2 linked regions of the Saccharomyces cerevisiae S288C genome follow. The gene in region 1 interacts genetically with each later gene. Each region holds a gene or a part of one and is shown on either strand. Other genes may lie near its edges.

Evidence for each region. A genetic interaction does not mean that the proteins touch.
Region 2: of LEU5 (region 1) and FMP10, a mutation in one rescues a mutant of the other (synthetic rescue), as found in Saccharomyces cerevisiae (2 studies listed by BioGRID, with this or other methods).

The regions. Positions count from the first base shown.
Region 1 is NC_001140.6:102,957-110,385, reverse strand, and holds LEU5 (coenzyme A transporter), read right to left. Parts: upstream 1,575-7,429; coding exon 501-1,574; downstream 1-500. Other genes in the region: TCD1 (tRNA threonylcarbamoyladenosine dehydratase), read left to right, coding at 1-358; QCR10 (ubiquinol--cytochrome-c reductase subunit 10), read right to left, coding at 2,264-2,491, 2,555-2,560; oxysterol-binding protein related protein OSH7, read right to left, coding at 3,018-4,331; 60S ribosomal protein eL14 RPL14B, read right to left, coding at 5,295-5,582, 5,981-6,109; ESCRT-0 subunit protein HSE1, read right to left, coding at 6,416-7,429. UniProt on the Saccharomyces cerevisiae protein: Required for the accumulation of coenzyme A in the mitochondrial matrix.
Region 2 is NC_001137.3:551,023-556,318, reverse strand, and holds FMP10 (Fmp10p), read right to left. Parts: upstream 3,795-5,296; coding exon 3,060-3,794; downstream 1-3,059. Other genes in the region: TOG1 (Tog1p), read left to right, coding at 1-23; FAU1 (5-formyltetrahydrofolate cyclo-ligase), read left to right, coding at 2,350-2,985; YER181C (uncharacterized protein), read left to right, coding at 4,523-4,846; SLO1 (Slo1p), read left to right, coding at 5,197-5,296.

The DNA.
Region 1 (7,429 bases):
CAAAAATAGGTTAAAGTTTTATGACAGCATCCTAGAGACTTTCCAAAAGCAGATGGCGCGGTTGAATGAAAATAAGGAGCGATCGTCATTGCTTGGATTAGAAGAGGTCGGTTATATAGTTGAAGAAATGTTTAGAGGCAAGTCTCCTATTAGCGGATACTCTACGAAACTAGCTCTAACAAAATGGGAAGCTAACAAAGAAATCTCCTTAACCAATGTTGTTCTGATGACGAAAGAAGAGCAAGAAATTCACGAAAAAAGGATTTTGCTGGATGGTGAGAAACTGACAGCTGTATACTCTGAAGAAGTTCTCGATTTTATTGAGAGGCTTTTTAAAGAGGAGGAGTACTATTCTTAGCAATGGGAGATCAAAAATACAACATATTGAATATAGATTTATTAATACTATTTACATCATAGTGTAATGCAGTGTACTTCCTATAGAACCCGAATAGACGGTTTCATTGCGATATGCAAATAAAACAAAATGCGATGCATAATTAAATGCCAAAATTCCATTTCATTCTTTCATAGACGAAAAAACTACATGCAACCATAGGTGTTACTTTAATATAACCTATGCTTAGACCAACAAAAAATCCACGTACTCCACGTTCTTTAAATATTATGTGAGCAATTTCAGATATCGATTGAAATTTATGATCATACATAGTTTTTGGTGACAGTGCACTTACTTGGAGCCTTCTCCTAATAATTTCAAATGGATATGCTGCCGTTTGGGAGGCCATACCAGCTAGACCACCAGAGATCAATTCAGCCCACGTACGCAAAGGCCTTCTCTGCTTTTTCTGTACTCTTTCCAATTCATCATCTTCTGAAAGTTCTAATACTGAATAAGGGGCAAAGAAAGGACTCTTCAGCACATCATGAAGTAAATCGTGAGCAAAAAAGGAAACACCTGCATATGGTATCATGCCAAGTACAGTTGGAACATAACCCCTATAAAAATTACACCAATGACAAAACCAGTTAGGAATATAATCATTTTTGATTAGCGTGGCTGAAGCTGGTTCCTTATATATTTTCTTGATTATTCTTCCTAGCTTTACTCTCTTATGTTCTGTTTCATATGCTAACCTAACCCTCACGAGATCTAACGGATATGTTATGAAAACACTGCATAATCCTGCCAGTGAACCACTCACCAACCTTCTCCAATGTGACTCAAATTCTTTTGAGGGAATCAAGGTATTCCTAATCTGTTCATAAGCAACAAATTTGACAGCAGCATATGGAAAAATCCTTAAAAGGGTTGCTGAATGGCCTTGAAAAAACCCCCTTACCCCATCATTGATCCATATATGCTTGGCTGCCTCTACTAATCCTATTAGTGAGCCTGTGTACTTTGTGTAGTGCGGATTTGATGTTTGAAATAAAATTTTTATTCTATCTAAGGGTGCGATTAGTGTTTTCGCACATGAACCTGATATACCTCCAGCTAATCCCGATCGTACAATATAATCGAATGAATTTCTATCAAACGAGGTTTTTTGTGTAGTATTCTTGTTTATATGCTTATAGCTGTCGTTAGAATCTGGGCTATCTCGCGTCATACTTAAGAACTGTGTTTATTTTAGCAGTTACCTCGAGAAATTTCACTGGTGCTTTCACGAGCAAACTATTTTGTTACTCTGGCTGTTATGTCCTTCTTAAAGGATTTAACGAGTTCTAAAACGGCAAAGTTTTCAAGTGCTTGGATTTACACTATTTGAGGTTATTTTAAGAGATGATCTTTCAAGGGTTTTAAATATTAATTATAATATTATTTGGTCTTTTCTTCCGGCGGGTTGAAAGTTCCAGCTGCGGGAGGAAGGTAAAGTACTCCATTTGAAAAAATAGAAATTACAAGAAACGGCGTTAGCATTGGCGTATGCCTAAATCATCAAAATGGCGAATGAAATAGGTTTCCCTGAAAACATAGAGATGTGCTGCCCAATTACAAAGCTCAAAAGATACATAAAAAGAGGAAAAACAAACCTGTAGTTAACTTTTCCCTACTCTTTGATAACTGATGTTTTAGTAAATATTCTGAAAATAGAGGGGTAAATATTTAAAAATGTTGTATGGATCAATTACTTTTTATACCTTTTATGATCCAGTTTAAAAATATGTATAGATAATCGAGAATATGCAAAAATAAAAAAAAATACAAATGTGTTTTGCATTAATTCCTCTTCCAAAATGATAGAAAAGAACGTAAAACAAATAAATAAAATCACTCAGCCGGTTGGATGTTTTGGCTTCAATTAGGTTTATCTTCTGGTGGAGTATGATCTTCCAATGTAGGTCCTAACAACGGAATCTTTTTGTATAGCGTATCTTGAAACTTAGGCCATCCTTCTGTGAATACAAATAGCCCAAGCATGCTAGCACCACCCCATAACATTAAATTCGGAGCATAAGCTGTTAAACTTCTTAAAGAAAGTCTACCGAAATGTAGACCAGTTTTTGAAGACAGATGAGAAGTGTACTGTATTATAAATGTTAGTATACTAATTCGGTTCTAGCTCACATAATATGATAGGATACTTACCGCCATTGAGGTTAGTTTTAAGTCTTATGGATTGTATTTATCGATATATTATTCGACTTGCGCTTTTGCTGTGAAGATTATTCCAGAAGATATCTATAACAAATTATGCATTCAAACTGTTATGTGATATATCCCGTCCCCTTGATAAATGGTATGGTTTTTTGATGCGGAAACAACGGGTTGAACCATATTTAGTTTTAATTGGATCAAAATCACGTGACAAAATACTACTTTGCAATAGTAATACGCACTTGAAAACTATGTAAATATAAGTATATATTCAAAGTGCGACAGCGTTATATCGCATAGCATTCTTCAGTCATTAGAGGTAGTGGTGAAGATTGAGGACAGTTTCGCGGCTCGTAACGTTAGCAAAAACTACCCATAACTAGGTGCATATTACACTGATATTAAATTACAGAGTGAGAAATCGTACTAGTATAATTAAAATAGAATGAGAAGCCTAATTCTTTTGGATTCCATGCTTTTTATAAGCCGGAATAGAAAATTTTTCAGTGAATGTCTGTCCTGGTAAAATCGGGGCAGTTTCCAAAATGCTCCTGATCTGTTCTTCATGCTTGTCGGTCCCTTCAGGGATGTGCTTGTAAATATAATAATCTAAATCCTCACCTGGCTCTGCCCTTCTAAATAGTTTTGAATGAAATTCAACGCCGTCTTCGGCCCTCTTTTTGGCCAGCTCTCTTTGGCGGTTTTCTATCTGAAACTTTTCTTCTGTAGCTACTTCATGGTCACGTACAGCCAGCGCATCCGTAACCTTCTTCCAAAGCCTTCTCGATTCGTATTCTCCCTGTTCCTCCAATGGGCGGACTTTAGGAGCTAGAGGAAAATGCTGATGAGTATCGAAGAGAACAGTCTTTTTAGAGCTTTTTTCCCTCAAATCTTTGATATACATAATATCATTCCACTTACCACTAATTTGGTAGTATTCCTTACCATCGTAATCCTTAATTGTACCTTCAATTGCATCATAGGTACCAGAAATAAAGCCCTTTGTTTTGAACTCAATATCCACTTGATACTTAGGACCCATAATGACCATGTGATCTCCCAATTCAATCCTCATCTTGCCAAACAGAATTCCCCTTGCGTAAACATTTGGTTGCGATAGAGTATATTTCTCTGGTTTACCATTTGCATCCTTGATATCAAGGAATTGCAATACAGTTAACCCCTCCATCATTGCAGCACTTGAGTTTCCTAAAAATTTCGATTTTGGCACAACAACTCCATCAACTCTAATATTCGATTCTGGAATCATGTAAAAATACGCAGATTCAGGAGGATGGTGACTCGTTTGTTCTGCAATGTAAAAGGCTTGTTGCTTGTTAGGCAAATCCCAATAAGCTGTAAAGTGTTCTCCAAGAATGGGATTTAGGGGCTTCTTCACAGCCCTGGGCCCAATGTGCCAACCTGCTAGGTACCATGCTACCACTTTAACGAACCTTTGCAGCCCGTCTTTATTGGAGTGTGCTTCTAAAAGAACATCTGGGAATTGTAATTGATTAGTGATTCTCTCCAACATCGATTTTTTTTCCAGAATAAATGTCGGAAGTGTGATTCTAGATAAATCACAACCTGGCTTCAGCTGGGAAATAATATTTAATAGAATACTTTGCCCAGATTCATCATTCTCATCGATATCATCCGTGTCTGCTCCGCTTGGTTTGGAATTTGCAGCATTGGATGCAATGCCGTTAATTGAGCTATGAGAACTGTTTGTTAAAGAAGGTATATTCTTTAGTTTATTGAGAGCCATTCTTTGTTTCTAATTTACTGGTTAGTTTCCTATTTCTAAATGAAAGAAGGAGGAATCTTTCCATTTTGAATATATCACATCCCTTCTTTGTTGACGATTTCAGAAAATATACTTTCATCCTTTAGAATTCTGGATTTGCGAGTGACCTCGGAAAAATTAGTACGCACGAGCGAATTAACATTCCTATAATATACTGATACATATTTCGAATTTGATTTAGGTAATCATTGGTGCATTACATTCCTTACCTTGAATGTACAGCTCTAATTACACACAAGTTAAAAAGTAGATAAGAAGAACTCCAACAATTACACATCCACAAAACGATTTAGTATAATAAGTAGGATGGTAATCACATGACTAATAATTCTTTTAATTTTAATTAATTTAATAAAATTAAAATAATATATATACTAAATTGTTTATTAAAAATGATTAAACATTGGGTTTTGTGTTCCGAACTTAGAAAATTGGTTAAGACATTATCTTAAAAACGCGAAAAATAAAAAAATGATTATTGATGTTTATTTCACAAGCACTAAGGGAGAGTTTTGTCAACAAAGAATTTTATCGCTTCCTCAAGCCCAAATCTCTTGCCGATCTAAAGGAATAATCGTAAGAAAGAATTTACGGAGAATATATCGTCATAGCAACCTGAGGGTGTATCACCACCTCTCTACTATTATCTAGATGCTTTTTTGTTCCTTGCGTCGAATGGTAGTTGGCGCGAGTAATATAGCTGGTGAGGAAACTCTCATGGTAAAGTGTATTTATAATGGAGCCGCAAAGAATATCCCTTATAAAACATCACTATATTGAGAGGAACAGGGAATGTGGCCAGAACAAAATGAAATGATATGTTGTTTACATAAATGGTTAAGATTAATATATATAATATGCATTGACGGAACGCAAAATTGCTTTCAGTACTTACCTATGGATTTTAGAATTATTCTTCTTTTTTTAAGCCTTAGCCAAAGCCTTCTTGACAGTGTATCTCTTTTGCTTTCTTAAAACCATAACTTGGAATCTTTCAAAGTCAGTCAAAGCAGCACGTCTTTCACGTTGAGCAATCTTCTTAGCCCAAGATGAAGCAGCCCACTTTTCGCAAACACCAGCAGCAGCCCACTTCTTAGAAACGGTAGCAGTTCTAGCACCTCTTGGTAGAGCAAAGGTCAATGGAGTTAAGACAACTTGACCCAAGTTGATGGCTTGACGTGGGACACCAGCTTTTGGACCATCAATCAAAACCTATAGTAATTATAACGAATAATTTAAAAAATTATTCATAAAAGTTGTTAGTAAATTGAAATACTTTGAAAACAGGAAAAGATTATTTGGCAATTGAGGAGGTATGGCTACATGTGCTGAAGTTATCTTCTTAAGTATGGGAGTTATTAACTGCCAGGGAAGGAGTTTGCCAGTAACAAAATATGTAGAAATTTCACTGTTGTTTATGCAAAAAAAGAATAGAAACATCTCCGGCCCTCTGTCCCATTGCATATTTCAGCATCTACTCATTGTTTAACATGTTTCACTATTCAGGCATGAATCAGGAAGTCGTTGGCGGTCCCTGAACATACGGGGACTTTCTCTTCCTTACAATTTCCTCCTCAGTTTGTCCACGGTGGGTTTTAGGTTCAACATACCTTCTTTTGGTCGATAATTTCAACGATAGCAGCCAATTTACCTGCGGATTGACCCTTTTTGATCAAAACGACACGGCCGACTTCGACTAATCTCCAGTTGGAGGCTTTAACAATAGAATCAGTGGACATTTTTGGTTTATTTGCGCGTTTATTTCCTGAAGTTACTTTAAATGCTTCACACTAATAAATGCTTGTAGCCTCTCTTCTTTATTATTAATTTAGAATGTTAGGATACCCTTTTCTGAAGATTGCGAAAATTGGAATATCGAACAATGGTCGGGGAGTCTCAAGAAAAAAAAGCAAGAAAGTTTTACTGTGTGGTGTAAAATAACAAAAAATGTGTGGGCTGAAAACCGTCTTTAAAGGTACAAAAGTTGAATAAAATGCTCTTCGTAAAAATTAAAGATATGTAAAGGTGCTATATAAGTTGAAGGGCTATTGTTCATAACCAGGTGGTGGTTGGCTAACAACTGAATATCCAAGATCATAACCGTATTGTGGGGTATTATTTGCGCTATTCGTAGGATGTTGGATTGGCAAATTAGAAGGGTAAGGTGAGTACTCATTGCTTTGGTAACTCTGCCTCTGAGGTGGCATTACTGGAGTATTATTAGCATGAGTCATTCCTGCGTAGAGTGCAGGGCCTGGAACTGGTGGTGAGATATGTGCGTTAGCTGCACGATCCATTAGTTGATTATATGAGCGTTCTGCATTTGCTAAGACTTGACGCAGGGATAACATGTCTTCTTTTTCTTTAGCATATTTACCTAACATTCTCGTAACTTGAGGTCTCAAAGGCGTTACAGATCCGTACATATCTCCAATATGAGGATCTTGCAAAACTTCATTTGAATTTCCCGTTTTAGAAGCTGCATTAAGCGAATTATGAAGTTGATCTATGGTAGTTTTTTGAGAGAATACTATGGCTTCCTTATTTTTTTCCTTCTCAATTTCTTCTTTCGATGGCTCAACAATCGGTGTTACATAATTTAATGGAAATATACCCATATTTCCTCGAAGAGCTCCCTTCCACCAATCTCTATATACTTGTTCCAGCACTGTAATAACATCGCCCTTCCTAAAGGACAATTCATCCGGTTCGTTTGTGGTTAAGTCATATAGAGCCCGAACTCTTCTCACAACGGTTTGTGCCGGTATTTTGTGAGCAGGAGCTTGATTCTGCTGCTGATGCTGCTGCTGTTGCTGCGGAAGGACTTCGGCACTTTCTTTTTCCTGTTCTTGTAGCTTTTTTTGCTTTTCGTACTCAAACAAAGACATTTTTAGTGCTTTTTGTAATTCCTCATCATCTGAGTTGTCTGCCTGGGTACTCATGTTATGCTTCTCTGGTACATTAGGCTGTACCAAATATGGAGCCTTTCTTTTAATTTTGTCATATAGATCTCCCATGGCGCGTAATGATGGGTCATCCTTGAATGAATCAGACAGTTG
Region 2 (5,296 bases), on another chromosome or scaffold:
CTAAAGAAAACCTCGGAGAGTAAAAACCAAGTATGCACCTAAACAATTGATCACTTTCAATTAGGAAATAAAATCCCTTGATTTAGACGAATACTGTAGAATGCAATAAAAGGTTTTGTGATTCTAATCTAGTCCCTTACGTTATGCACCGCTTTCAGGAAGGTTATGGGCTGTACCATGAAATCAAAGGTGGCTCATAACTAGTAAGTAAAAGTAAATGTCCTTTTTTTATGCAAGATCTAGAACGATTCGAGTATGGTGTTGATACCACTGTGGTAAGTCTTTCAAGCTACACGCAATTACACACACTCACAAATCTAGTTGTATTTACTCCTTTTATTGTTGCTAGTCTAATTATTCGTCCCACGATTTTATCGTTCTTTGAGTATTTCGGGTCTCAAAAGATTGCTAAATGAAATAACTCTTAAAAATTGCTTCACATAGTCTTGTTGTTACATTCACAATTCACAGCTTTCCGTTGCTCATCGCTTGATAGGAATATATTATGATAGGGATTATCCTGAAAGTTTCAGCAAAACGATAATTACTTCAGCTTTTCTTCGTCTATTTAACCTAGTTTTCCGTCATAAATCCGTTCTCTTAAAAGCACACCTACTCCACTTTCTGAAATAACATAGATATTGAATTTGACTTAGATTCATATATTAGAAAAATCGAATAGTTTCCTGTGCCTAGAAATTCTAAGGTGCCATTCCAGAGGATTTTTATGACAAAGATGAGATGTAAGAATCAACTTTTTTTAATATTTTATATCTTTCATCAAAGAAACATCACAATGTATATTACAAAGTGGAGAAGCATCCAAAATATAGCTGCAGTGAGAATTCATTGAACTGTATCAACTGGGTGGAAAATGTCACAGTCACTTATGGAATTCTATGATTTTATTCAATAGAAAACATTTAGTAAAGCTGGTAACCGACCTTTTTTTTTTACACATTTTTTTTTTTTTTGCTGATTATACCTTGCATTCTAACACCGGGTTCTGATGTTATCACCTACTTTGTATCTCGCATCATTCTTTATTTGGTAGACACGTCCCAAAATGGAGGATGCGCACTAACGAAAATGAAGGATAATGCAGTGAGAATGATAATTTTGATATTGATAGGATCAATTGAAAGCATATCACATGTTTTTTGTGAAATGTTGTATAAGAGATAGCGCTCTTGTTGGGTTTCGATAGGGGGAATGTGGAGTATCTGATGTAACACTGTAGTCTTATTTCTTGTCATAAAGAGGGACTGATTGGGGTGAGGCATATTATATTATAGGAAAAATTGCAGAATATCTAGGTAGTAGTCGCTTCAATAAATTTTTTTCCGACACAAGAATAATGAGACAAATCGGACTATATTTGACGATTAAATAAACCCAAAGCACCCCTATGCTATATGGGGGAACTTTAGAGTAAACAAGGTTGAAATACGTCAATTTGTAATTTCATAAAATACGTGAGGTCTTTTTGTGAGAGATACTTGCCCATTTAGATTTTTGTCCATATCGTGATAATTTTTTTGAGTTTTAATTAATGTGCTCCACCATCACAGAGTGTGTACCAGTGCAACCCACTCAGGGATATGCTTTAAGTCATATATTCTCGCTCTATGGGAACCATAAGCTGGACACATTTCTTGAGGTTATTTAGTAGCGAAAAATGGCGCAATGTTACTCTTTCACTTCTATTATATGGGGCTACAATGCCAATAAGGATTAATGGGTAGCGATTGTGGTTTCTTACCTTTGTGTAGTTGCGTAGGCTTTTTAGTGTATCAGTGAGCAAATTTAGTCCAAAAAGATCGCCAGCGAAGACTGTCGTATCTGGATCATTCGTAGTATCGATAGCTTAGCGATATTCTCGAGGATGTAAAGACAGCAGATTGGAGTTCTGATAATTTTTCATTACTTTTCAGTGAGAGAGTGCCTTTCTCGTTTTATATCTCAATCCTACCCGTAGAACTGGTCTGCTATTCTCATTTATCATTTTATTTCAAAAAAACCTTCAGGAGACAAACTGATTCCATCAAAGGCCTGTTTGCTATCTAGGACAATATTCGAGCTTAGTAAGTCACTTCCTGAAAACCATTCTGCTTGCGAGCCCGAAGCTTTGTGGCAATCAGTCTTCCACATCTGTTTGCAAGGGTGTTTTATTTCATGTCGTGAGAGATTTGTGATTAAAGCTGTTTTTATTAATCAGTTAGCAGCTTCATTCTCTTGAAGGATATATATAATTTTCTCAGATTTCTTCCGAATAATATTTAATCATTGAAATGGCAAAAATAAAAATTACTGTCAGCTACGCTATCTTTATATAGCTACAAAAAATTAATGGCCACTAAGCAATTACTGAGACGTCAAATCAAAAGGGTAATAAATGCTCTTGACTACGATATTATCGCTGCAGAGTCGCATACTATTTCTCAAGCAGTACGCTCATTGATCGCTTCCGCCAATTCTAGGCGTGTAGCGTGTTATATGAGCATGGATAAAGGAGAAGTAACGACTGGAGAAATCATTAAGAATTTATTTCAAGATGGCCAGGAGGTCTTTCTGCCAAGATGTACTCATACTTCTGAATCGAAACACTTCAAATTACGGGAAGATCATCATCCACATTTAATATTCCATCGAATGAGTAGTTTGAAAATGGTTCGTGATTTGAAGCCTCAAGGTCCATATCAACTAAAAGAGCCTGAACCGCATATTGAGGAATCAGATATTCTAGATGTCGTATTGGTGCCTGGAGTGGCGTTTGATATTAAAACTGGTGCAAGGATGGGTCACGGTGCTGGGTATTATGACGATTTTTTCCAACGGTATAAGATACTGCATGAAGGCCAAAAGCCCCTCCTAGTTGGACTATGTCTTATGGAACAGGTGGCCTCTCCAATTCCTTTAGAAAAACATGATTATTCCATGGATTGTATAGTATGCGGAGATGGATCCATACATTGGTTTCAATAATTTCATATATGTATTATTTACATGGTACAGCTATTGTATAAATAAATAAATAAATAAATAAGTAGACGGCAAATCTATTTTTCTTCTTTTGGATTCCCTTGTTCGCTAGAAAACGTGGCATTAGCTTTGACCAATGTCCTGTTGCCACTTTGGTCCATAAGTTCAGCCTTTAATTTAGTTTTGTTACCGTATTGCTGAAGATCGGTGGTTCTTACTACAACAAATTGATTAGCTAACGTGGGGAACTTGTACGAGATACTCAAATTCTTGGTTTCTTGGTTTATATTTTTTGTTCCTTTTTCGAGTCTAATGGCCTCCTTCATTAAATCTTCAATAACTGTTGCTAAAATGCCTCCGTGAATTAAGAAAGGATAACCAGTAAGTTTCATTCCTAAATGGTATAGCCCGACAGTTTCACGCCTACTGGGGTTGTAGTAAACTCTTGGTGGTATAGCGACGCCACCTGGTGTATTTAATGCCCTTGACACTAACAAGTTCTCCTCTTCATTAGCAATCACTTGTACAAAACCAGCATTCTCCAACTGTTTTACTATGGGTAGGCCATTTAAACGTCTATTCAGATCAGCGTGATATTTGACGACTTCATCTGCGTTCTTGGGTAGGGCATCATATCTCCAATAAGCTAGTAAGTCCGTGAACGTCATATGCTGTGTCAAGTACCACCCTCCAAGAAAACTTCCCCCAAAAATTGTCCATGGAATCCATCTTCTTTTGGGTTTAGAGGCTGTCTTGAAAACAACGCCATTTGTATACGTTCTTATCTGGGCTATTGCGATTCTTTTAAACATCTTGGCCTTGCTGGTACGGTCTCTTTCTCTTCCTTACTTTTCTTAGTTTCTTTATAAACTCTTTGTGCACTTTGTGAGTTTGTTCCTTTTCTGCCAAGGGGTATGCCTCATCGAAAATTAATCAATCTTTAAATAAGGTATTATGTTAAATAAATGAAATGTAAAATGTGTCGCTAATGGAGTACTTAGAGACATTTTTGGAAATCAGTTTTGTGAAATATTAGAAAGAATTCCTTTTGTTTATTTGCTCAGAGTACAACATCTCAAGACTTTTATTCCTGTTGCAAACCAATGTTCACGTACGGTGACCCAAAATGATGGCAGTCATAATCAAATCTAATGGAAGTTGAAATCAAGAAACGATAATGTAATAGGATTGTAAATTACAACTTACAAAGCAAAAGAAGTAATAATAATATGCTATTTAGAATTGCCGATTCTCTTTTATTGATTCCTGTATCTTTTGAGGAGAACTTCTAGTATATGTCTAATGTCGTTTTACTAGAAATGGGACCCCTGAAAATCGTCAGCAACTTTCAACTGAATCTGAGAATGATGCTCAAGTCGTCATTTTATCTTGCAGAAGCTAAGTGCAGGAGTTGATAATACAGCAGAATTAAAAGTGACAACGCAAGAAACAAAAACAAATGCAATCTCAATATTATGTGAAATTGATGATTTCGTAGCGAATCATGCGCACTGTGGGAGAAGCCTGGGTATAATTATGTATGCTAATACTGTTACGTTTATCTGAGGTTTGTGTGAATTTTGTGATAATTATCGGGATTCCATTGTTGATAGAGGCTTCAATACTATGTATACAGAACATACTAGAACTTCTCCTCAAGGGTATAGGGATCCTCAAATTTAATCGGTATTTGCATACAATAATATTACGATTATTTTTCCTATCGTTTTATATGCTTCATTTTCCCATTACATTATCAATTCTTGCATTTCAGCTTCCATTAAACTTGCTAACTCTTTCTCAAGCTTCATTTCATCTTCCTAGATCTCATATGATACTATACCAGCAGCAAGAATGCTACTAAATGGATGATATTCTAGAGTTTCATTTCATCATCTACACGAAGGGATGGGGGCATCTGAAGTATTTGAAACGTTGCTATGATTTCATAATTTATGCAGGTTTAACACAGATTACAGGTCTCTTGGCCCAGTTGGTTAAGGCACCGTGCTAATAACGCGGGGATCAGCGGTTCGATCCCGCTAGAGACCAATTTTTTTGAAAATCGTAAAAAGGCCCAAAAGGGAGAGCACAGCACGTTCTGCTTAAAAAAATAAAAAATGATGTCTTCAATAAAACATCTTAAGGACCAGTTTGTAGATCTGCGAAGTTGTTGACTAGATAAATTATAATAGCAAACAAACAAATAGGACAATGTCAGCGGAGAACATTAGTACTGGCTCGCCGACGGGCAAGCAGCCATCCTCTGAAGTTAATCTTGGCGAAAGAGAAGCTGGAACAAAAAATGAGAGGA